Linked DNA regions of Ovis aries. The protein of the gene in region 1 purifies or fractionates together with the protein of each later gene. This does not show direct contact. Links are inferred from orthologs where the notes say so. Each region holds a gene or a part of one and is shown in the gene's direction. Other genes may lie near its edges. The genes, in order: FBL, DCAF13, C1QBP, NOP58, TGS1 and RRP9.

Region 1 (3,500 bases):
ACACGCCCCTTCCTGGCTTGACCTTCTTCTGAGCACCTGTCACTGGCTCCTATGCCGTGTGTGTCCATTCAGCATGTCCTCACTCCTGGAGAGCAAGGCCTTTGTCCCCTTCGGTGTGTTTGCCCAGTGCCTGAGCTTAGGGGCCGGCACAGGCAGTGTTCGTAGAACGAACACAGAGGTCTTGCCTTACTGTTGTCTGGGGTGATCTTGTCTTTATTGTCCCCATCGCTGCCCCTTCTCCCTGAGTCAGGAACCCCCACGAGAGCACAGGCCCTGCCTGTTGTGGTCATAGATGGATATACTCATTTGTTTCTTGTACAATGACTGGGGGCCCAGTCCCTTTTGAGGGCCCTAGAGTTAAGAGCCTTGGGGTCTTGCAGAAGAGCCTGGCACTGACTTCCATCCCCATCTCTCTCGGTGCAGGAGGGAGATGACAAAATTGAGTACCGTGCCTGGAACCCCTTCCGTTCCAAGCTGGCAGCGGCAATCCTGGGCGGGGTGGACCAGATCCACATCAAGCCAGGGGCCAAGGTCCTCTACCTCGGGGCTGCCTCGGGCACCACCGTCTCCCACGTCTCTGATATCGTTGGCCCGGTGAGTAGACAGAGGGACAGGAGGAGGTGGGAGGGAGGGAAAGGTCCCCTTCTCTGCCAGCCTGGATTCAGAGGCCCTGGCTGCTTCCCTGCACCGAGGGGCTCGGAGCCAGGGCCTTCCTGATCACAGTGCCTGTGCGTGAAGCAGCGGCTTGAACCACATGGTCTCCAGAGCTCCATTCAGCCTCACACCTGAGTTCTTGGCCTAGAACGAAGGGGCTTGGGTGTCGGGGCAACCAGTGTTGGGGGGCCCAGAGCTGAGAATACACTGGATTTGATTGCTCCCCTCTGGGACTTTGCTGGCGGTCCAGTGGTTAAGACTGCACGCTTCCACTGCAGAGGGTGTGGTTCCATCCCTGGTTATGGAACTAAGATCCTACATGCCATGTGGTGCAGCCAAAAAAAAGATAGCCCTCAAATCTGGGCTTCTGGTTTCCCTAAACAGGAGATTGTCAGTTTGGGGGCCTATGCTTCTGTGCAGCTGGACAGCCTCCCTGTTGAGAGGGCACCCACACATCTCACTTCATGATCCCTCACTTGGCTGTGAGGCTAGAGGGTGTGTAATTTAATGGTTAAAAACCCCAGACTCTGGTGCGGGCTCTTAACAGTGAAGTGGCTTTGAGCAAGTACTTACTCCCTCTGAACCTCAGTGTAACCCTCTAGAAAATGGGTGATTGTGATGATAAGTGAATTAAATCCTGTAACATGCCTAGAGCAGTGTCTGGCCAGGTGCAGGTATTCTTAGCTGTTACGTCATCTCATCTCTATGCCCTAGCTTCCTCATTTTAAGCCTAAACTGGGGGCCTGGGCTCTCAGATCAGACAAAGTAGGATGGAATAACCCTTGGACCTAGTATATTCACCTGTAAAATGATAACAAGGGCTTCCCAGGTGCCTCTAGTTGTAAAGAACCCACCTGCCAATGCAGGAGATACAGGAGACTTGGGTTCAATCCCTGGGTTGGAAAGATCCTCCAGAAGGGCATGGCAACCCACTCCAGTATTCTTGCCTAGAGAATCCCATGGACAGAGGAGCCTGGCAGGCTACAGTCAGTGGGGTCACAAAGAATCAGACAGGACTGAAGTGACTTAACATGCACACACACATCATGATAACCGGTCATTAAATGGTAATGTTTTGATTTGGGGATTTGAAGAGCTGCATGTGGCTTCAAGAAAATTGAGATCCCCAATGGAACATTTCATGCAAAGATGGGCTCAATAAAGGACAGAAATGGTATGGACCTAACAGAAGCAGAAGATATGAAGAAGAGGTGGCAAGAATAACTATACAAGAAAGATCTTAATGACCCAGATAATCACCACGGTGTGATCACTCACCTAGAGCCAGACATCCTGGAATGTGAAGTCAAGTGGGCCTTAGAAAGCATCACTACGGACAAAGCTAGTGGAGGTGATGGAGGTCCAGTTGAGCTATTTCAAATCCTGAAAGATGATGCTGCCAAAGTGCTGCACTCAATATGTCAGCAAATTTGGAAAACTCAGCAGAGGCCTCAGGACTGGAAAAGGTCAGATTTCATCCAGTCCCAAAGAAAGGCAATGTCAAAGAATGCTCAAACTACCGCACAATTGCACTCATCTCACACACTAGTAAAGTAATGCTCAAAATTCTCCAAGCCAGGCTTCTGCAATACGTGAACTGTGAACTTCCAGATGTTCAAGCTGGTTTTAGAAAAGGCAGAGGAACCAGAGATCAAATTGCCAACATCCGCTGGATCATCGAAAAAGCAAGAGAGTTCCAGAAAAACATTTACTTCTGCTTTATTGACTGTGCCAAAGCCTTTGTGTGGATCACAATAAACTGGAAAATTCTGAGAGAGATGGGAATACAGACCACCTGACCTGCCTCTTGAGAAACCTATATGCAGGTCAGGAAGCAACAGTTAGAACTGGACATGGAACAACAGACTGGTTCCAAATAGGAAAAGGAGTACGTCAAGGCTGTATATTGTCACCCTGCTTATTTAACTTCTATGCAGAGTACATCATGAGAAACTCTAGGCTGGAAGAAGCACAAGCTGGAATCAAGATTGCCGGGAGAAATATCAATCACCTCAGATATGCAGGGAGAAGGCAATGGCACCTCCCTCCGGTACTCTTGCCTGGAAAATCCTATGGACAGAGGAGCCTGGTAGGCTGCAGTCCATGGGGTCGCAGAGAGTCAGACCCGACTGAGCGACTTCACTTTCACTTTTCACTTTCATGCATTGGAGGGGGAAATGGCAACCCACTCCAGCGTTCTTGCCTGGAGAATCCCAGGGACGGTGGAGCCTGGTGGGCTGCTGTCTCTGGGGTTGCACAGAGTCGAACACGACTGAAGCAACTTAGCAGCAGCAGCAGATATGCAGATGACACCACCCTTATGGCAGAAAGTGAAGAGGAACTAAAGATTCTCTTGATGAAAGTGAAGAGGAGAGTGAAAAAGTTGCCTTAAAGCTCAACATTCAGAAAACGAAGATCATGGCATCTGGTCCCATCACTTCATGGCAAATAGATGGGGAAACAGTGGAAACAGTGTCAGACTTTGTATTTTGGGGCTTCAAAATCACTGCAGATGGTGATTGCAGCCATGAAATTAAAAGATGCTCACTCCTTGGAAGGAAAGTTATGACCAACCTAGACAGCATATTAAAAAGCAGAGACATTACTTTGCCAACAAAGGTTCATCTAGTCAGGGGTGGTTTTTCCTGTGGTCATGTATGGATGTGAGAGTTGGACTGTGAAGAAAGCTGAGTGCTGAAGAATTGATGGTTTTGAACTGTGGCGTTGGAAAAGACTCTTGAGAGTCCCTTGGACTGCAAGGACATCCAACCAGTCCATTATAAAGGAGATCAGTCCTGAGTGTTCATTGGAAGGACTGATGCTGAGGCTGAAACTCCAATACTTTG
Region 2 (4,211 bases), on another chromosome or scaffold:
TTCCAAGTACAGGTTTCCTGGCGATGCTAAAGTAAAGCATGAAAGCTTTAATATAGGCCAAAAGTGCATAACGTGAAGAAGCAATTACCTTAACACGCACTTTGCTAAAGGATGCACGAAATAAATCCAGATAAAGCACAGATGCTCACAGAAACAGTTCAAAGCTATGACTGATTGACGCTGAGATGTTGAATGTAGTTTCCGGGAAAGGAGCTGGTGGTGCACGCTGCCTCTCAAAGGCTTGGTGCAAAACAAACGCTGAACTTTCTATTCTCGATTTTCGCCTTCTTTTTGTAATGGCGAAAATCCTCTTCGATTCTTTGCGATTTGGGGGTGAGCGGAAAAAGGCTTACTAATGAAAGCCTTTCCTAAAAGCCAGGTGGTGTGAACAGAACTTTCGAAAAGCTGGGGGTTGGGGTGGGGGGTGGCGGGTACTTGTATCTCCAAGGGAGAACAATTTGCACGTGTGAGGTTTAAGCCCTGAAATGTGATCAACCCTTTCTTATTTTATAAAGCAGGCTTTTGAGTTCCACGTTCTATACCAATGAGGACCTTTCTCAGACTTTGACATCCATTCTGCTCATTCCTCAGTATCGGGGAAAAGGGGACGCCGGCAGCCAGACCACTTAAACCAGACTCCCTTTCCTCAAATCTGGTCCCACGGGAGCCCGGGCAAAAAGCATTCTTCTTAAGCTCTCGCCTCGCCTGCAGTACGCAAGAGGCAGGTGAGGACGAAGCCGTCCCTCTGCGTCTTTATCACTCGGTTCGGGGTGACAGCAAGGAGAAGCCCAGGGTCTGACTGGTCTCTTACCGGCGAAGCGGATCTTCACGAGGTCAAGCGGGTGCAGCGCGAGGTTGGAAAGGACCCCGCCGGTCACGCCCGCCACCAGATTCTCGTAGTGGACGTGGCGGAATATTGTGCTGCTCCACGCCGACCAGCCGGACGCCGACTGGCCCTGGCCTGTCATGGGCTCAGGGTCCGCTGATACCGCGGGCGTGGGACGAGATGCAGTGGCCGCCACCGTGGCGACGGTCGCCGCGCTGGAGCAGAAACCGCAGGGCACGAGCCCACTTCCGGCACCCGCGCGTGGAGTCACACTCGCGGAGGCGAGGGTGAAGCCGAGAGACCTAGGCGCACGAGTGACTGACTAGAGCGGCGCGGCCGCAACTCAAGCGGCCGAGGGAGAGTGGGCAGCGGGGCGGGGCGCCTCCGCCAAGGCCCCGCCCCGCCTCGCCCACCTCCGCGGCTGGGTTTAGGCTGAACTGCGTGGATCTGCGAACACAGATGAAGCACCGCCCCCGGCCAACCTTTGTCCGCGCGAGTACGGAGCGCCGCAGAGCCCACCTGAAGCCGGTTTCCGCTCCGCGGAAGTCACATGACAGGAAGTAGTCGGGAAAAAGCGGAAGTGGCATGTGTTGGTGGAGACGGCGTCTGCGGCGGCGGTAACTGGGGCTGGGAGGGAGAGGGTCGTGAGATCCCGGTGAACTGGCAGCAAGATGAAGGTGAAGATGCTGAGTCGGAACCCCGACCACTATGTCCGCGAAACCAAATTGGACTTACACCGAGGTGAGACAAGTTAGTTGGGAGTCCGCCAGCCTTGGATCCAGCCTCGGCTCCACCGAGTAAAGCTGGTTGGGGAGGGGAGACGTGTTTCACTCTCGTTGTTTACCTGTTTTCTTTCGCTAGGGCTCTTGGTTTATAAAGCGCTTCTGGTTCTGGGTAGCAGAACACTTGTCTTCAAATCCCTTTCCTCATAACTTTTGTCTAGTGGTCAGTGACAGTTAGTTATATGGGGAAATGATTCCGTCTACACCGCTTTCAGCTGCTGCTCTCTGATTGTTCTCAGGGTCCCGTTGAGGGGAACGTGGACTTGAATGAGCCAAACTCGTGGATTGTGAAGGAATTAACAATTAAACAAACTTCTTTAAACCTCTCCTTGTTACTCTAACTTTCGACAACTTTGCTAAAGTTACGTATTTCGGGATGTGGGAACAGACAAAGGTGACACTTAACGCCGTCAGTTTTCTCTTAAAAACTCTTGTGGGGAATTTTAGTGGGGGAATGACTAAAATGAAATTAATGGGTTTTGTCTGTACTGGTCTGTTCCCTCATTAACCTGCTGACTACTTAATGAATTATAGCTAAGTGACCAACCATGTGTGAAGTGAGTAACAGGTGCAAAGGCCTTAAGGCAGGAATAAACTTATGGCATAAGAAAAGGGCCATGTCTTCGCAGTTTGAGGTAGGGGTGAGCCATAGAAGGGGAGGCTGGAACAATATTTCCATATGATTGAGTCATACAGCTTATCCGTATATATCGTGAGCAATGCTAACTAAATGGTCTCTGCTCACAAGATGTTTACAGGTTAAGTATCAAAACAGCAGTGTTCTTAAAATGCAAAGTAGATTATGTGACTCAGACTTGACATCATCCCTACTCCTTAAACTTGGTCCCATCTTCCTCTCTCCTTTCATGGGTGACTACTTTTTCTACAGCTAGTGTATATGTACTCTCGTTAGTCTGTGTGCCTTTCAGGCATTCTCTTTCAGGCATGCGATGGCACACACCTCTATCCAGTTTCTGTCCCCTGCAGATTTCCCCCCATCCTGTACGCATGTAGGCACCCTCCTATGCTTCTGTTTCATATTTTTATATTAATATTAGAGTGCTTATTACATTGTCTCATTATTTTTGTGACTATCAGTCTTTTTCTTTAATCAGATCGAGCTTGCAGAGAGTGGCCCAGTTGTGTTTGTTTCTATGTCCCCTGTGTTTAGAGAGCACCTGGCACCTAGTAGTTGCGTTATTAATGTCTGAATGAAGGAATGGGTAACTGGTTGGTCATAGATTTTTTTTGTTTAAGTGGTCTTTGTAAATTTTGTGCAGTATTCAAATACTTATTTGAGTATTCTGACTCATAGATCCGGGATGTGGGCATCAGGGAATCTGTATTTTTAAAACTCTGTTGGTAACATAGCTGATAACATACAAATGTATAAGAACAACATACATAAATATGTACGGTGAGTTTGTTTGCTCTGATGTCCTGAGTGCTTATGGTATATGGGAGGTGTTCCGTATATCTTTGTTGAGTGTTTCTTGTTGACTGAATTGAATTTAGAGGTGGGCATAATTATGGGTATTTGGAAAAATTTATAGAAGATACAAGATTTAAGCTGAATTTTTTTTAAAGGATGTGTAGGGTTCAGATGGGCTTCCCATCTGAACCTGGGAAAGAATCTGCCCGCAGTGTGGGAGACCCATGTTCAGTTCCTCCAGGAAGGTCCCCTGGAGAAGGGAATGGCAACCCACTCCAGCATTCTTGCCTGGAGAATTCCATGAGCAGAGGAGCCTGACAGGCTGCAGTCCATGGGGTCGCAAAGAGTTGGACCCAACTGAGCGACTAACATGCACACACAAAATCAAACATTGAAAGTGCTCAATAAATAGTATAATCATCATATCACAACATTGTACAGTGATCAGCACTGGAGATTATTAGTGTTCCCTGCCCAGTAAGGGGGCTTCCCAGATGGCGTTAGTGATGAAGAACCCATCTGCCAGTGCAGGAGATGCAGGATATATGGGTTCGATCCCTGAATCAGGAGGATCCCCTGCCTAGGGATTCCCATGGACAGAGGAGCCTGGTGGGCTATGTTCAATGGGTTGCACAGAGTCAGACACGACTTAAGCAACTTAGCATGCATACACACACCCAGTAAGGAGCTTAAGAGGTCAGTTGAGCAAACGTTTATGATGCACTTGTTTTGTGCTGGGTATAAGAGATGTAATGAAGAATGTAGCAGAAGCCCTGCAGATGAAGGCTTATAACCCAGTTGAAGAGCGTAGTAGGACATAGAAAAGGAAAAGTTGTGTGTGTGTGTATGTATAGAGTCTAGTTATTTTGCAAGATGTATGTGTTCTATCACTTTCTGGTCATTTTGGAAAGGTTCTGGACAAAAGGTCTTCAGTGTTTTTAGTTTTAGTCCTCAGCATAGTCAGTGTCCCTAATAAAGGCTTATTGAATAATATATTGAATGATTAGCCAAGGAATACCACAGGAGGTATTAAATGTGAATTATTTTATTAAGAGGAATCATTCTTATTTCAGTTCCAAGAAACTATGATCCTACCTTACATCCTTTTGAGGTCCCACGAGAATATATAAGAGCTTTAAATGCTACCAAACTGGAACGGGTATTTGCAAAA
Region 3 (4,264 bases), on another chromosome or scaffold:
TCTTTTCCAATGAAAAGAACTCTGCATCAAGTGGCCAGAGTATTGGAGTTTCAGCTTCAGCATCAGTCCTTCCAATGAATATTCAGGACTGATTTCCTTTAGGATGGACTGGTTTGATCTTGCAGTCCAAAGGACTCTCAAGAGTCTTCTCCAACACCACAGTTTAAAAGCATCAATTCTTCGGCACTCACCTTTCTTTATAGTCCAACTCTCACATCCATACATGACTACTGGAAAAACCATAGCTTTGACTAGATGGACCTTTGTAGGCAAAGCAATGTCTCTGTTTTTTAACATGCTATCTAGATTGGTCATAGTTTTTCTTCCAAGAAGCAAACGTCTTTTAATTTCATGGCTGCAGTCACCATCTGCAGTGATTTTGGAGCCCAAGAAGATAAAGTCTCACTGTTTCCATTGTTTCCCCATCTATTTGCCATGAAGTGATGGGACCAGATGCCATGATCTTTGTTTTCTGAATGTTGAGTTTTAAGGCAAATTTTTCACTCTCCTTTCCACTTTCATCAAGAGGCTCTTTAGTTCTTCACCTTCTGCCATAAGGGTGGTGTCATCTGCATATCTGAGGTTATTGATATTTCTCCTGGCAATCTTGATTCCAGCTTGTGCTTCATCCAGCCCGCATTTCGCACGATGTACTCTGCATAGAAGTTAAATAAGCAGGGTGACAATATACAGCCTTGACTTACTCCTTTCCCAATTTGGAACAAGTCTGTTGTTCCATGTCCAGGTCTAACTGTTGCTTCTTGACCTGCATACAGATTTCTCAGAGACAGGTAAGGTGGTCTGGTATTCCCATCTCTCAGAATTTTCCACAGTTTGTTGTGATCCACATAGTCAAAGGCTTTGGTGTAGTCAATAAAGCAAAAGTAGATGTTTTTCTGGAACTCTCTTGCTTTTTCCATGATCCAGCGGATGTTGGCAATTTGATCTCTGGTTCCTCTGCCTTTTCTAAATCCAGCTTGAACATCTGGAAGTTCATAGTTCACATACTGTTGAAGCCTGGCTTGGAGAATTTTGAGCATTCCTTTGCTAGCGTGTGAGGTGAGTGCAGTTGTGCAGTAGTTTGAACATTCTTTGGGACTGGAATGAAAACAGCTTTTCCAGTCCGGTGGCCACTGCTGAGTTTTCCAAATTTGCTAGCATATTGAGTGCAGCACTTTCATAGCATCATCTTTCAGGATTTGAAATTCCATCCCCTCCACTAGCTTTGTTCGTAGTGATGCTTCCTAAGGCCCACTTGATTTCCCATTTCAGGATTCCTAAACTTCTTTAGTTCCTGAAGATTCCTGTTGCTGCAGAACTAAAGTTTAGGAATCAGATTCCAAGCCTCCCTGGGAGGCTACACCGGAGGCCACCAGCAGAGGGCAGGGTCCTGCCCACTGTGCCTTCTGGTCTGCAAGGCGGCGGCGCGGAAGCACTTCCCGGCTGTGGGGCGGGACTTCCGGCGGCGGTCCCAGATCTAGGGGGCGCAGCGGCAAGGAGTTGTCCTTCTAAGCGAGAGTTGTATTTCGAATCTGCACGTGTTCGCCACCGCCTCCGCTGCCAAAATGTTCCAGCTGCTGCGCTGCGTGCCCCGCGTCCTGGGTTCTGCCGTCGCTGGTCTCCGCGCCGCCGCACCCTCCCTGCCGCTTCTGCAGCCCGCGTCCCGGCCATGCGCCCGGCCCTTCGGGCTGCTGAGCGTGCGCGCGGGGTCGGTTCAGCTGCCCGGCCTCCTGAAGCCTCGGGGGCCCTGCGCTTGCGGCTGCGGCTGTAGCGGACTGCACACCGAAGGTGAGACTCATGCACGTGGGCCGGGGGCGTGAGGGGCGTGGGCCTAGGTGGGGCGGGGTGTTAGGGGCTGGGAGGTGTAGACCACCTGAATGGACAGTCCGGAGCCGCTCCTGAGGTCCGGAACATTCTCCCAGTGATGGTCGACCTGCTAGTTAAACCCACGCGTAGTAACATTTCCCGTCCTCCCCCACCCCTGTTTGACTGCGGGGATAGATACTGTAAAGTCCTGGAGGCCGGCTTTACCTCAGTCTCTCGAAAATGGAACTTTGCGAAAGCCCAAGGTCGCGGTTAGAAGTAGCGTGATGTTTCTTGGCAAGTGAAAGGGTAGTGGCGATTTTTTTTTTTTTTTTTTTTGCTTTATTTTGAAACGTCGTGAGAAGTTCATTATTCGGGATCACTTTCCTAGAATCCATGCTCAGCTTCCCACTGATAGCTTACATTTTTACAGATGAAGGAATTGAGGTTTAATGGATATGAGTTGGGCTAAGTCCACAGAGCCACCATTAATAGAAGTATTAGGAAAAAACAGGCTAAGTCCTGGTCTTTGCTTGTAGTAACGGGGTCATTTTCCATTTTAGACTAATTGGCTCTTTCTGTAACTTATTTCCATTGTAGGAGACAAAGCTTTCGTTGACTTCCTCAGCGATGAGATCAAGGAGGAAAAGAAGATACAGAAATATAAGTCTCTCCCCAAAATGTCAGGAGGTTGGGAATTGGAAGTGAATGGGACGGAAGCCAAATTAGTGCGGAAAGTTGCTGGAGAAAAGTAAGTACCAGGGGCCTATGGAGCCCAGGGGACCACATCCATAAACCTGCAGGACCTGCTGTGAGGTATCCACAACAACTTTTAGTTAAGACAGGTGCTTAACTGACTCCTGGTTTCCCAGAGATGGTATGATTCGTTTGGATAACTTCTTAGGCTCCTTTTTGCTTATTCACTGCACAGTAATGTGCTGTGGTGGTTAACAAGGAGACAGTAAGCTAGTAGCGGGGTTCCCCAGTGGCTTGGCGTCCAGAACCCACCTGCCAAAGGAGGAGGTGTGAGTCTGAAATGGCAACCCACTCCAGTATTCTTGACTGGAAAATCCAATGGACAGAGGAGCCTGGCAGGGAGTCCATGGGGTTGCAGAGTCAGACACGACTGAGTGCCTGAACATCACCCCAGTAGCACTGAAGCCAAGCCACTGGGAGTCTTCTGGACCAGTAGAGGCAGCAGTCACTGAGCCCTTCCTGGTGAGTGAGGCTGTGCCTTGCCCACAACTAGGCATGCAAATTCAGAGATTCCGGCACTGCCCACAGAATCGGATTTACTCTGCTGGGTCTACTACCCTCAGGCTCTGGCTGAGGAAAATAAAGCCCCTGTTCTGTTTACAGTTGAGAAAGCAAGATAATTAACAGGGTGGGGTTGCAGTATAGTTTTTCATTAGAAAAGAGGGATGCTTTTGGCCTGCTTAAGCTGTTTTAAATCCACGGTCCACTTTGAAGTTTTGCATGCGCTGTGAAGCAGCAGGCTGGTGCTTTTGCCTAGTATTGTAGTGCTTTCCCCGTCATAGATCAATTGTGTGGTCTGTAACGTGACCCAAACCACTCTCCTAGGCGAAGTTATAGGCAGTTTGGGACCATTATAATGTGCTGCTGAACATAGCTGCATTTCTCTGTCCAGGGGTCAGTTTGGTCCACACTGTCACAGCTTAGACAGATTTTGTGCCTGTACATCAAACTTCTGTCTGTCAAGGTGCCAGTTACCATGGCTTCAGAGGGCAGCGTTGTCTGCAACCTAGCAGTGCTCGTTCCAAGTGTCACTCAATTTTCAGTTCAAATTTTGGAATATGATATGTCAGGTGAAGATTCTTGCAAGTTAAAATTGTCATTAGGTGGTGTTTGTGGCCTGCCTTGTCATTTATTAAACTTCCTACATCTGCTCTGAAGAATAAAACTGTCCAGCAGCATATTCTTTTTTTTTTTTTGCCACACTGCTTGTGGGAATCTTAGTTCCCTGACCGGGGATCAAACCCAGGCCATGGCAGTGAACACACCAAGTCCTAACCCCTGGCCCACCAGAGAACTCCTCTATGTGGTGTCCTTTGTGAGGCCTCCCCTTCCTGGGGCCAGGGCTACTCTCCATCCTCAGCTGATGCCACAACCCTCCGGTGCTCCTTCTCTTCCTCTCAGGCAGATTTTCTTCTAATGGAGGAAGATTTTTAAAGGAGGCTCCTGGGACTTAGTGGTGGTCCAGTGGTTAAACCTCTCCTCTCCCAGTGCAGGGGACCTGGGTTCAATCCCCGATCAGGGAACTAAAATACCACACATAGCAACAAAGGTCACATGCACCTCGCAACCAAGACCCAGCCCAGCCAAGTACATTTTATTTTCTTAAAGGAGGCTTTTGGAACTTTGTGGTGGTCAAAGTGTCTGCTCCCAGCGCAGAGGACCTGGGTTCAATCCCTGGTCAGGGAACTAAGATCTCGCATGTAGC
Region 4 (3,438 bases), on another chromosome or scaffold:
TAAAGATTTTCTAAGATTCTGTGGCTCTTTCAGTGAAGTGAAGACTTACGATCCTTCTGGTGACTCTACACTACCAACCTATTCTAAAAAACGCAAGATTGAAGAAGTAGACAAAGAGGATGAAGTTACTGAAAAGAAGGCCAAAAAGGCCAAGGTTAAAATTAAGGGTTAGTTTGAATTTTGTTAATGTCATTTATATTCCTGTTGGATAAGAAGTATGGAGTTCTGTATGACTCAGGGAACTCAAACTGGGGCTCTGTAACAACCTAGAGGGGCAGGAGGTGGGAGGAGGTATATGTACACTTAATGGCTAATTCATGTTGATGTGTGGCAGAAATCAAACCAGTATTGTAAAGCAATTATCCTTCAATTAAAAATATATTAAGAAAAATGGGGAAAGTGCATACAATAGAACTTTATTATGAAACCACCATATTGAAAGCTAATTCTATTAATAACCATCTTCTCTAGGGAGTTAGAATATTGTTAAATTTATCATATTTCATAAGAGAAAGGGGAAAAGCATCTCTTTGAATATATAGGGTTATATTAAGTGTATCAAAACTTTAATTTCTAACGTGAACTATTTTGAGAATCAGCTTAAAAGAGAAGAAAACAAGGTATGTGGTTTCTAAGTTAGTAGCTGAAATATTTTGGTTGAGCATAGAAGTGATGCAGCAGTGCTTCATTATTTCTGTTACATGAAAAGAACTAGAGTAATGACCCGGTAGCTACCATCAGAGTGATCGTTAACAGGTGCTCCCCAGTGAACTAGGCTCTCTTAAGTTGATAAGTAAATTCCTCCATTTGTTAGCTGTACTTGTGTTGAGTGATTAGCATTAAAGAAATTACCATTTAACTTTGTTTCTAAATAGCTTAGAGGTCAAAAAGCACTATCAGCAAATGTGGATTCTGCCCTGGGTGAAGAAAACATAAGCAAGTTATTTAACCCCTGTGTTTCATTTTCCCTGTTGAACAAAAAGAACTGTAAACCCATTAGTAGATTTGAATCTTGACTTGTAATATTCATTAAGCTTTTCAAACTTAACCTTCCTGGATCTTTGCCACTCCCAGTCCATTTCTACATGATATTCTCCATCTTATAAATGGGAATCCTAGTTGCTTTGGCCTTTAACATTGACTTGTCTTATCATTCTGGTAGCACATCCTCTTAATTCTACGTGGAAAGTATTTCTAGCACCTAACCATTTATCATACCAATCACTGCCGTTCTTAGTGTAGCAGCTGCAAGGGCACTCCCATTGCCTTCTCATCTAATTCTATTCCATTGGTCACTGCTCCAGCCGCATTAGCCGCCTTGCTACTCCATGAACCTGCCAACTTCCCTTCTTTCCTGAAATAATCTTAGTATTTGCTCTTCTCTTGATGTGAGATATTTTCCCTCAATATAGATGAATTGTTCACTTCCTTTTCTTTTTTAGGTGTTTGCCTAACTACCCTGTATAAAATGTCCACAGGAATTGCCTTCATTTGTGCTCCTTTCTTTGTTTGCTTTTATCCTTTGGACTGTTTACTATGTAAAATATTTTATGGTGTACTTTTTTTCTGGTTTTTGGTCTGTTTCCTAGTAAAATAAAGGGTTTGTAAGGGCAAGAATTTTTATCTGTGCTATTCCTTGCTGTATCTCCAGTTGTCTAGAACAAGCCCTAGCATATAGTAGGTACTAAATAAGTGTTTGGTCAATGAATTTCTAATGATAGCTACCCATTATTGAGTCCTTATTTTAGTGTGCTAAGCATTTATGCTAACCATTTTGCATAAATTTTCATGTGTTAAATCAGCAAACCCTAAAAATAGTCAAAAGAGATAGACGTTACTAAATTTTAAAAGAATGAAGAGGTTGGGTTTACAGAGGTATTAAATTGCTTACTATCATTTATTGTTAGTACTATTATACTAGGTAAATATTTGAAGGACCTTTACAGCTATTAAATTACATGTAACAAACATTGGAGAGTTGACCAGAATGTTGGGAAAAAAGACTCAAAGGGGGTTGAAGGGAGAGAAGCCTGATACAATGTTAATTGTAGTATTTTTACACTTGTTCAGTTGAAGAAGAAGTAGTAGAAGATGCAGAAGACACAGAAGAAGAAGTAGTACAAGTTGTAGAAGAACAGGAAACATCTGTGAAGAAGAAGAAGAAAAAGGACAAAAAGAAACACGTTAAGGAAGAACCACTTTCTGAAGAAGAGCCATGCACCAGCACAGCAGTTGCTGTATGTTTGTTTTTAATTATTAATATTTTGTTGACATGGGCAGAGATTCCATATTTTATTCTACTCTGTATGTTAGAAATTAACAGGTAGTTTTTTAAAAACCATTTTTTAAAATGGTTTCATTTAAGAGAAACAATTAGAAAACTCACTGTTTGGAACTCCCATGTTACAAAAAGCCGCTTCCCAAACCTAGAATCTTACTACAAAATGGGTTTGGTCTGAAATGGAAGAGAGTATCATTTGCTACAAGTCACAAAGGTGATCTTTAGATTTTAGTCTTTCTTCCAATCTTGTTTTCAAGAGAAATAAAATAGACTGCTTTTTATAAAGAAAAGTTATTTTTAGTCACTTGTACATTTCCAGCTCTTTCAAAAGCATTCTTGTTGATTATTTTCAGAGTCCAGAGAAAAAGAAGAAAAAGAAAAAAAAGAAAGTTAATGAGGACTAATGGAAGGAACCATTCTTTCAAAGAGTTCATAATTGAATCACCTGGATACATCATGCTTACGATTCAGTCAGAAATGTACGCAAGATACTCTGTAAAATAATTGATGGGAGGTTTGGTGAGAAAGAAAGATTAATCATTAATAGCATTTCATACCTATTTGTGTCTTGACATACTTTAACTATGTTAATTTTATTATGTCATCATTTCTTAGGATATTTGTTATACAAATAAAAATATTTTCTTTGTATTTTAAGGCAGTTCTGTGATTTCTCTACTTTAGGTCGAGAATTTGGGGCTCCTTATGTTATGTAGCATTGATAATTAGTATTTTGATAATTATACCTGAAAAGTGAGAGCTGTGAACCATTAATTTGAAATTTAGCCTTTCGGAAGACAATAATTAGATGGACCAGTTTAAGAATCCCACTTAATGTGTTTCTCTTGCCTTTTTGGACTGTCTTCTGTTTTTCTCCTACCTTTCTGTTTTTGTTATTTAAGTAAAGCTGTCTATTGTGTTCGAAGCTTTAAAATTAGGTGAACAAACTTTGTTTCTGTCTCTTTAGGAAGAAAAAAACTGTCCCTAACTTAATTTGCATTTCTAGAATGTGGAAGAAAATCATTATTAATCTAGACCCTGATTTGTTTTTAAAGTAATCTAAAGTGGTGTTTTAAAAAGATAATACAAAATAAGTGAAGAATGGGGGTGTATAAAGGAAAAACAAGAGGAGAAAAAATAAAATGTCAGTAGGAGTG
Region 5 (3,500 bases), on another chromosome or scaffold:
CGCGGGCAGAGTCAGCCAGTCCTTGGAGAGTGGCACCGTTGTGGACGCCTTCTGCGGAGTTGGAGGGAATACCATTCAGTTTGCTCTAACAGGGAAGAGAGGTAATTGGTCATCAGTGGTTTACTCATTAATTAATTTCAGTTTATTCATCAGATGCTTCATTTTCCTTCAGCCCTATCTTTACTGAGATATAATCATTGATAATTTAATGCCAAATATTTAACAATAATAGCATATATTAAGACTACACTTTGTGTACTGTTGTGTTTAATATGTATCACTGTATTTAGTCAACAGTCTTGTGATATGTATCTTTTATACTTTCTGTGTTTAACAAATAAACTGAGAAATAAAACATGCAATGATTTGCCCACGATCATACAGACCCAGCTCAGCAACAGCAAGATTATAACATGATATAAAAGTAAAACTGTTAAAATGGGAGAGACTGTTCTCTGGAAGAAGAGAAGCGTAGATGGTGCAGTGGGGTCCAGCTTTGCCCTCACCCACTGTATGATTTTGGACTTCCTTTAATCTTAATGGAAAGGAGACATTAAATTGAGAGAACCCTGTGATACCTTTCAGCTTTGACATCCTAAGACACTAAGACCCTTTTAAATATTAGACTGTCTTCATGGTTGGTTGACTTCAGAATCCCAGAAAAGAAGACCTGTTACTATATATCTGCCAGCAACTGTGTCAAGTAGATAATACGTGTGCTGTTTCCCGGGATGGGTTGGGGGGAGGCTTTACGAGACTGGACAAGGTAGCCAGTGGCCGCCATTCCTGGACATTGCAGTTCCCCGCAGTATCCTCCAGCACCTATCAGCACTTCATTCACCTGCCAGATTGAGTTGTTCACACTCTGTTAGGCCTGAAAACAAAAATGTCTTCCAGGAGAGCACAGATGAAAACAGGGCCATTAGCCAAATACAGTTGGTGTTGAAAGTCACTTTTTTCTGTTGAATTTTTGCTGTTGACAGTGTATTTCTGCATCTGTCTCTGTGCTATCAATTTCAGCAGATTAAGCAGCTAAAAAGGACCTTGTCCCTTTTATAAATATGAATGTTATCAGAAGAATAGTGTTGTGGATGCATGATTTTGCAACATAGGGTTGGTGCCTGTATTCATTGCTCCAGTGATTTACTTAGTGCATTATTTCCCTAAAGTATTAACAAACCTTGAAACCAACATTTTCTGTAATACAGCTGCTTCCTTGTCAACCATGGTGTATGCATCAGGATTGCACTCTGCCCTTGCAGACGTAAAATATTGCCACTAACATCCTGTTGCACACACAGGTGCACATGAGTAATTTACTCTAAGACGTGAGTGAGTTGGAATTAACTTACATTTGTGTTGCTAATTGTGAAATTGAAGTAAATTAAGTGAGAGCCCCTGCAGTAAAAACATGACCTCTGTTCCCTCTGCCTAAAACGTCTCATTAAACATCATCAGCAGGTGTTTTTGCATGTCTTCTTCATAAGTTGGCTACATAGGTTTGTCAAAAAGTGTTTTATTTGCCTTACTGTAGACATTGTCAAATCTGTCTACTTTTGGACATTGCCTCATCTTGAGGAAACTGGTCTTATCTAAAGTCTTAGCATTTCTAAACTGTCTGTGCAGCCATCACCTTCCTGTGTCTACCGTCCAGCTCTGACCACAGACCAGGCTTGGGATAATGGGTAACCACCTCTCTGCTTGCGTTGGCCCAGCGGCCTAAGTGAGACAGCTCTGCAGGCCACATCCTTGGTCTCATTTTCTTGATATAGCACAAGTGAATCTTCCTAGGTTAGGTGAAATTTTTAAATTAAATTCTCTCATTAATGTGGCCAAATCTCCCTTTAAAAACTCTTTTTAAAAGGGACTTAAACGCACAGAAAATAAAGACTGCTCAGAAGATGGACTCGTCCATATAACTGACAATCAGTATCATTGAACTCCTCTTTCTTGTTCCTATTTTTAGTGATTGCCATTGATATTGATCCTGTTAAGATCGATCTTGCTCGCAATAATGCAGAAATTTATGGCGTAGTGGACAAGATCGAGTTCATCTGTGGAGATTTCCTGCAATTGGCATCTAGTCTAAAGGCTGACATCGTGTTTCTCAGCCCACCTTGGGGAGGACCGGACTACGCCACTGCTGAGATCTTCGACATCAGCACCATGATGTCTCCTGACGGATATCCTTTGAAAGTCCTAGAGTTCACTCAAATGGTGGTTGTGGAGAGGAAACGTGTGTGTGTGTGTGTGTGTGTGTGAAATTAGTGAACAGGAGAGATGTTAGCTAATAGCATTTGAAAGATTCCAGTTTGTTTTCCATAAAAATTAACTGGTGATTGATCTCCAAAAATTACAGCAAATATGAGGTTATATTTCCATTGGTTACTCTCCAGTTGTCCCATTAGAAAACAAGAACTAAAGGGCATTAATTGTTTGGAATTACTGTCTGGAAATCAGGGATTTCCTCAGGACCTGTCCCTGGACTCTGGGTGATTGTCCCCTGACTTCAGCTCACACTGACCTAAGTTGTCTGCGTCTCCAAGTTCTGCCTGTTATTCCTCCAGGTTACTGGAGCAAACCCCTTATTTCAGGAAGACTAGCATGTGTTATTTTTCCTTTTATCTCAGTTCCCCAGAGGAGTCATTTATGGCTCTTAACAGGAATTGTTTTAAATCACTAATTAAAATTTAGAAAAAATAGGGTGGACAGAGTTACTTGTCTTTATTCTTTACTAGAAAGATGTGGTTATTGTGCTTTCCCATTCATCCTGTTTTCACAAAAACTAGGAAATAGCAGAAAGAAAGAGTGTGTATTTCTAGCTCTTGGTTTCCTACCCTAGGATAATCCAATACATAGATTAAACTTCTAATCCCTGACCTGTTGGAGACAGTTCAGTCAGTTCAGTCACTCAGTCGTGTCTGACCCTTTGTGACCCCATGGACTGCAGCACGCCAGGCATCCCTATCCATCACCAACTGCCAGAGTTTACTCAAACTCGTCTCCATTGAGTTGGTGATGCCATCCAACCATCTCATCCTCTGTTGTCCCCTTTTCCTCCTGCCTTTAATCTTTCCCAGCATCAGGGTCTTTTCCAACGAGTCAGCTCTTCACATCAGGTTATCAAAGTATTGGAGTTTCAGCTTCATTGTCAGTCCTTCCAATGACTATTCAGGACTGATTTCCTTTAGGATGGACTGGTTGGATCTCTTTGCAGTCCAAGGGACTCTCGAGTCTTCTCCAACACCACTGTTCAAAAGCATCAATTCTTCGGCTCTCAACTTTCTTTACAGTCCAACTCTCACATCTATATATGACTACTGGGAAAACCATAGCTTTGACAAGACAGACCTTTGCTCTCTTTTAGGTCCCGTTAGAAGTACTGTTGGGCTTCTCAGGTGGCTCAGTGGTAAAGAATCTGTCTGTAATGCAGAAGACCCCAGTTCAATCCCTGGGTCTGGGAGAACCCCTGGAGAAGGGAATAGCAACCCACTCCAGTT
Region 6 (4,175 bases), on another chromosome or scaffold:
TGGCTTTTTTGCATTTCTTTTCCATGGGGACGGTCTTGATCTCTGTGCTCTGTACGATGTCACGAACCTCATTCCATAGCTCATCAGGCCCAGATCTCTGCACCCCGGACAGGCCCCTTTCTCTAGTCACTGGGGCCAGGCCCGGCCTCTGAACAACTTTCCCAGTTTGGTTAAGGAAGAGGGGCTCTCCACCCTCCCTAGCTCTCCTGTGTGTACTGAGGTGGAAGGGAAAGTGAAAGGAAAATCTCCCCCCTCCCACTTCTGGGCTCCTCCTCACAGAGCACTCTCTGTTCCTCCCCTCTCTCAGCTGACTTGGACCTGGCATGGTTGCTGGGCTGAGTCACCCCAGCTATGGAGGAGAGAGGGCAGCGGCTCCCGGGGGCAGCACTCCTGAGGCCAGCTCTATCTCTCCAGAGCTTGAGAGCCAGTAGCACAGAAACTCTTCCCATCAGACTCAAGACTTCTGGGATGCCAGTCCAGGTTCTAGACCAGTGACACTGAACTGCCAGAGGGTAAAAGCCAGTCACACCCACCCTGCCCTGCCTTGCCCTGTGGAGGGCTGTGGGCAGGGCCATAGGGCACTCACCTAAGAGAAGCACGGACCTGGGAGACGTGGTGGCCACCGGGTCTACCTCCCAGGCAGTCAGTTCTAACAACCCTCTGTAAGCCTTAGGGGAGCCGGGATGAACTGGGTGTGGATAGGTTTCCCGTTATTTGGTCACCAGCCTGATGAGTCAGAGGCTGGGCAGGTCGAGCCGGGGCAGCCTGTCCCATGGATGGGTGGACACTTGATCTGGACACAGCTAAGGCCCAGGGGACTGACGCACCCTTAGCGGTGCACATCTCGCCTGAGGCATGCAATACGTGTCCACCGGTTTGTCAAGTGACCTTGGCCGCAGGTGCAGGCATTGCCTTCCTCTCCCAGGGACTGCCTGGCTCCCTCTCCCCGGGTTACTAGGGAGTCAGACTCTCACCCTGGTCCCCGCCCCTGACGGGGAGGAGTCACGGTCCAGGGAAAGGAACCCTGCATCTCTGACGCCCCCCAGCGTCCAAGGGGCGCAAACACAGAGAAGGCGTCGGAGTCCGACCCCTCTTCCGACGTCAGTCAGCGGCGGGGCGCATGCGCCACAGTCATTGGCCGGAAGCGCCGGGAAGAGGCTTGCTTCCTTTACCGTCTGAGCCAGGGCGCGGGAGCCTATAGGAGCTTTGGGAGGCGGGGCCACAGGCATTTACCCTATGGGAGCTTGGGGGCGAGGCAGAACCTATCCAAGGACCCAATAGAGCTGTGGGAGGCGGGACCTATAGGGCGGTGGGAGCCTATCACAGCGGGGAGTCTGGTGGGACTGCCAGGGTTTAGCCGCCACGTGAGTTCTCCAGTGCTGCGGCAACACGCACCATGGACAGCATGTTGGCGACAGGGGCGGCTCGTAAGAGGGGAAAGCCGGCCTCAGGGGCCGGGGCTGGTGCGGGGGCCGGCAAGCGGCGACGAAAGGTAAGCATGGCGCTTTGGCAGGCGGGGATCTATCCCTCCTATTGGGACCACCCTAATCCCATCCGGGGGTCTCGCCCCCGGGACCCGGGTTGGAGTCAGCTTCGTCCCTTTCTCCGTGCGTCAAATCCTGAAAAGCCTTTCACTTGAGCCAGGGGCCACTGCCTTTCCCAGTGGCTCTCGAGGGACCCTAAGGGACTGTTGGTCAGAGCCCGAGTGGTCGGGACCCCTGACCAAAAACGTATTATGTAATTCCCAGGGCGACTCCTCTGGGGACAAGGTCAAGTCCAAGGGTGGCGGAAAGATGAATGAGGAGATCTCGAGCGACTCAGAGAGTGAGAGGTGAGCTCTTTTTTTCCACCTAGTGGAAAGGAACCCTGGAACCCGTGGTGTATGGAAGGAATCCTCAGTTGAAGGGGTGCTAGAACTGGGCCAGAACCCAGGATCTCAGGTCTTAACTCTTTCCTCCACTTTCTGACCCTGAGAACTGTCATTTCCTTCTCTGCAGGGTCTCTGTGTGGGGAGGACCCCCAGTCCCAATGGGAGGCCTGCTGACCCTTCCTGGCTCGTGACAGGGAGCTGAACTCCAGGCAAGGGGAGGATGCAAGAAATGCTCGTTAGTTCTTCACAATTTCAGTTACGGAGAGTGTCAGGCACTAGTTTCATTGTTTTGAGAACAGAGACAAGCAGGCAGGTGAAGACAGAGTGTGTTGTGATGGGAGGCGTATCTTAGAGCTGTGTGTTGTGGGAACAGAGAACGGGAGTTTAAATAGGGCTTGGAGAGATCAGGAGCGCTTCCTTATGGAGAGGTAGGGAAGGCATTCAGGGATCAGAGAAAAGTCTAGGGGTTAAACGGGCCAGATGGAAGATGGAGAGGGTGGAAGGGCAGGTGGTGCGTGCATCCAGATTGTGAAGGGCTTTGTGTACCTCCTTCATTCCGCAGGTGATGGGGGTGGGACATACTGCGGAGTTCAGAGGGGGCTAGCAAGGTGTCAAGCCTGACCTTGTGGAATGGAAGCTGTCACACCAGGAAATCCTGGTGCCTTCCTTCACAGTTGGCTTTAGAGGACTTTTCTGGCGGTCCAGTGGCTAAGAATCCACCTGCCAATATGGGTTCAATCCCTGGTCTGGGAAGATTACACATGCCACAGGGCAACCATGCACCACAGCTAGAGAATAGTGCCCGCTTGCCACAAGTAGAAAAAGCCCGGGCACAGCAACAAAGACCTAGCAGAGCCAACAAATAAATAAATACAAATGTCAAATTGTTATTTTTTTAAAGTTGGCTTTAGAAATTCTGCCTCTAAATATTGAGTACGTGTTGGTCTTAACCTGCTTGCAGAAGGACTTTATGTTCTTTTTGTAGTCCTGAGGTTACTGCGGGTGTGTGCCAGGCCCTGTGTGAAACACTTTTTAAATATTTTTCAAATGTGTTGTGGAATGTATTAGCTACAGAAGAGTTAATGAAATGTAATTGTGCCATAGACAGTAATGATGAAATGATGGACCTCTGTGCACCCACCAGAACTAGACCTGTACAGAAACATGGAAGACCCAGCTGCCATTCCTGAGTTAATAATTTTCTTTGGTTTCCTTCCTTCCTTTTTATCTCTTTTTTTTTTTCCTTTTCTGATTCAGGTGTAATTTACATACAGTGATATTTGTTTCTTAGTGTACCTTTCTGTGAGTTGTAACAGACTCATATAAACTGCCACCACTATGAAGATACAGAAGGGTTTTACCACCCTCCAAAATTCCCCCTGGCTCCTGTGTAGTCAGTTCCTCTCTCTCTCTCCCCTGGTAACTGCTATCCCTAGAATTTTGCCTTTTCCAGAATGTTATATGGATGGAATTATAATGGTGTATGCTTCTCTTGATTTTCTTTAGAGTTCTGTCTCCTATGTGTGAGCACTAAACAAAAATTTATTCGTTTGAGTAAACTGAGTAGAAGTGTAGTCCTTGGTTATATGAGGGAAGGGCAGCAAGTCTGTCAGCTGAAGATTTGCTTGGTGCTGGGTACTAACTGGTCTGAAGAGCATGAGGCCTTGGCTTCCTTGAGAATTTCCAATGTCCCTTCCGGGGAAGCTGTGGGTAAGGTCATGGATGAGTCTTGGAAACAGTTGGGGTACCTGACAGGGACTAGGTATCTGCAGGCACGTGATCAGAGGGAACAGGCGGCCCTGGGCTTTCTGCTTCTGAGTTCCCATGACCTACCTCCAGCTCCCAGGAGCAAGTCAGCGTAGGACTCATCTTCAGTGAGAGGTGTGGAGGGGAAATCAAGATCTTCACAAGGTCCAGCCAGACCCAGTTAAGCTTCACCTGGAATCCCATCCTCAGGGTAGAGGATGGGGCTTCGGCAGTGAGGATGGGGTGGTGACAGTCCCAATACGGCTGCCTCTTGGTTCCTCATGTCAGATCTGGGTTGGCGGCTCCCTTGTGTCTGGGGGTGGTGGTTGTTTTTAGATCTATCTTTTCCACTTTCCATGTTGGATCTTCTGTTTCCTGTCTCCCATGCCTGGCTCAGGAAGTAAAGAATCAGCCTGTAATGCAGGAGACCCAGGTTCTATCCCTGGGTCAGAAAGCTCCCCTGGAGAAGGGAATGGCAGCCCACTCTCAGTATTCACGGAGAATGCTGTGAACAGAGGAGCCTGGTGGGCTACAGTCCGTGAGGTTGCAAAGAGTCGAG

What was found.
Region 2: the proteins of FBL (region 1) and DCAF13 purify together in Homo sapiens (affinity purification with western blotting; 3 studies listed by BioGRID, with this or other methods). This does not show direct contact. The link is inferred for Ovis aries from reciprocal best matches to the Homo sapiens genes FBL and DCAF13.
Region 3: the proteins of FBL (region 1) and C1QBP purify together in Homo sapiens (affinity purification with mass spectrometry; 4 studies listed by BioGRID and IntAct, counting the BioPlex papers as one, with this or other methods). This does not show direct contact. The link is inferred for Ovis aries from reciprocal best matches to the Homo sapiens genes FBL and C1QBP.
Region 4: the proteins of FBL (region 1) and NOP58 purify together in Homo sapiens (affinity purification with mass spectrometry; 7 studies listed by BioGRID and IntAct, counting the BioPlex papers as one, with this or other methods). This does not show direct contact. The link is inferred for Ovis aries from reciprocal best matches to the Homo sapiens genes FBL and NOP58.
Region 5: the proteins of FBL (region 1) and TGS1 purify together in Homo sapiens (affinity purification with mass spectrometry; 3 studies listed by BioGRID and IntAct, counting the BioPlex papers as one, with this or other methods). This does not show direct contact. The link is inferred for Ovis aries from reciprocal best matches to the Homo sapiens genes FBL and TGS1.
Region 6: the proteins of FBL (region 1) and RRP9 purify together in Homo sapiens (affinity purification with mass spectrometry; 3 studies listed by BioGRID and IntAct, counting the BioPlex papers as one, with this or other methods). This does not show direct contact. The link is inferred for Ovis aries from reciprocal best matches to the Homo sapiens genes FBL and RRP9.

What each region holds. Positions count from the first base shown.
Region 1 is NC_056067.1:48,796,475-48,799,974, reverse strand, and holds part of FBL (rRNA 2'-O-methyltransferase fibrillarin), read left to right. Parts: intron 1-423; coding exon 424-594; intron 595-3,500.
Region 2 is NC_056062.1:73,986,257-73,990,467, reverse strand, and holds the start of DCAF13 (DDB1- and CUL4-associated factor 13), read left to right. Parts: upstream 1-1,411; 5' UTR 1,412-1,497; coding exon 1,498-1,567; intron 1,568-4,113; coding exon 4,114-4,211. Other genes in the region: SLC25A32 (mitochondrial folate transporter/carrier), read right to left, coding at 812-968. UniProt on the Homo sapiens protein: Part of the small subunit (SSU) processome, first precursor of the small eukaryotic ribosomal subunit.
Region 3 is NC_056064.1:25,997,931-26,002,194, forward strand, and holds the start of C1QBP (complement component 1 Q subcomponent-binding protein, mitochondrial), read left to right. Parts: upstream 1-1,464; 5' UTR 1,465-1,565; coding exon 1,566-1,788; intron 1,789-2,403; coding exon 2,404-2,554; intron 2,555-4,264.
Region 4 is NC_056055.1:204,595,089-204,598,526, forward strand, and holds the end of NOP58 (nucleolar protein 58), read left to right. Parts: intron 1-33; coding exon 34-167; intron 168-2,070; coding exon 2,071-2,237; intron 2,238-2,634; coding exon 2,635-2,685; 3' UTR 2,686-2,938; downstream 2,939-3,438. UniProt on the Homo sapiens protein: Required for the biogenesis of box C/D snoRNAs such as U3, U8 and U14 snoRNAs. Part of the small subunit (SSU) processome, first precursor of the small eukaryotic ribosomal subunit.
Region 5 is NC_056062.1:36,074,217-36,077,716, forward strand, and holds part of TGS1 (trimethylguanosine synthase), read left to right. Parts: coding exon 1-101; intron 102-1,966; coding exon 1,967-2,183; intron 2,184-3,500. UniProt on the Homo sapiens protein: Catalyzes the 2 serial methylation steps for the conversion of the 7-monomethylguanosine (m(7)G) caps of snRNAs and snoRNAs to a 2,2,7-trimethylguanosine (m(2,2,7)G) cap structure.
Region 6 is NC_056072.1:49,062,282-49,066,456, forward strand, and holds the start of RRP9 (U3 small nucleolar RNA-interacting protein 2), read left to right. Parts: upstream 1-1,375; 5' UTR 1,376-1,396; coding exon 1,397-1,492; intron 1,493-1,748; coding exon 1,749-1,831; intron 1,832-4,175. UniProt on the Homo sapiens protein: Component of a nucleolar small nuclear ribonucleoprotein particle (snoRNP) thought to participate in the processing and modification of pre-ribosomal RNA (pre-rRNA).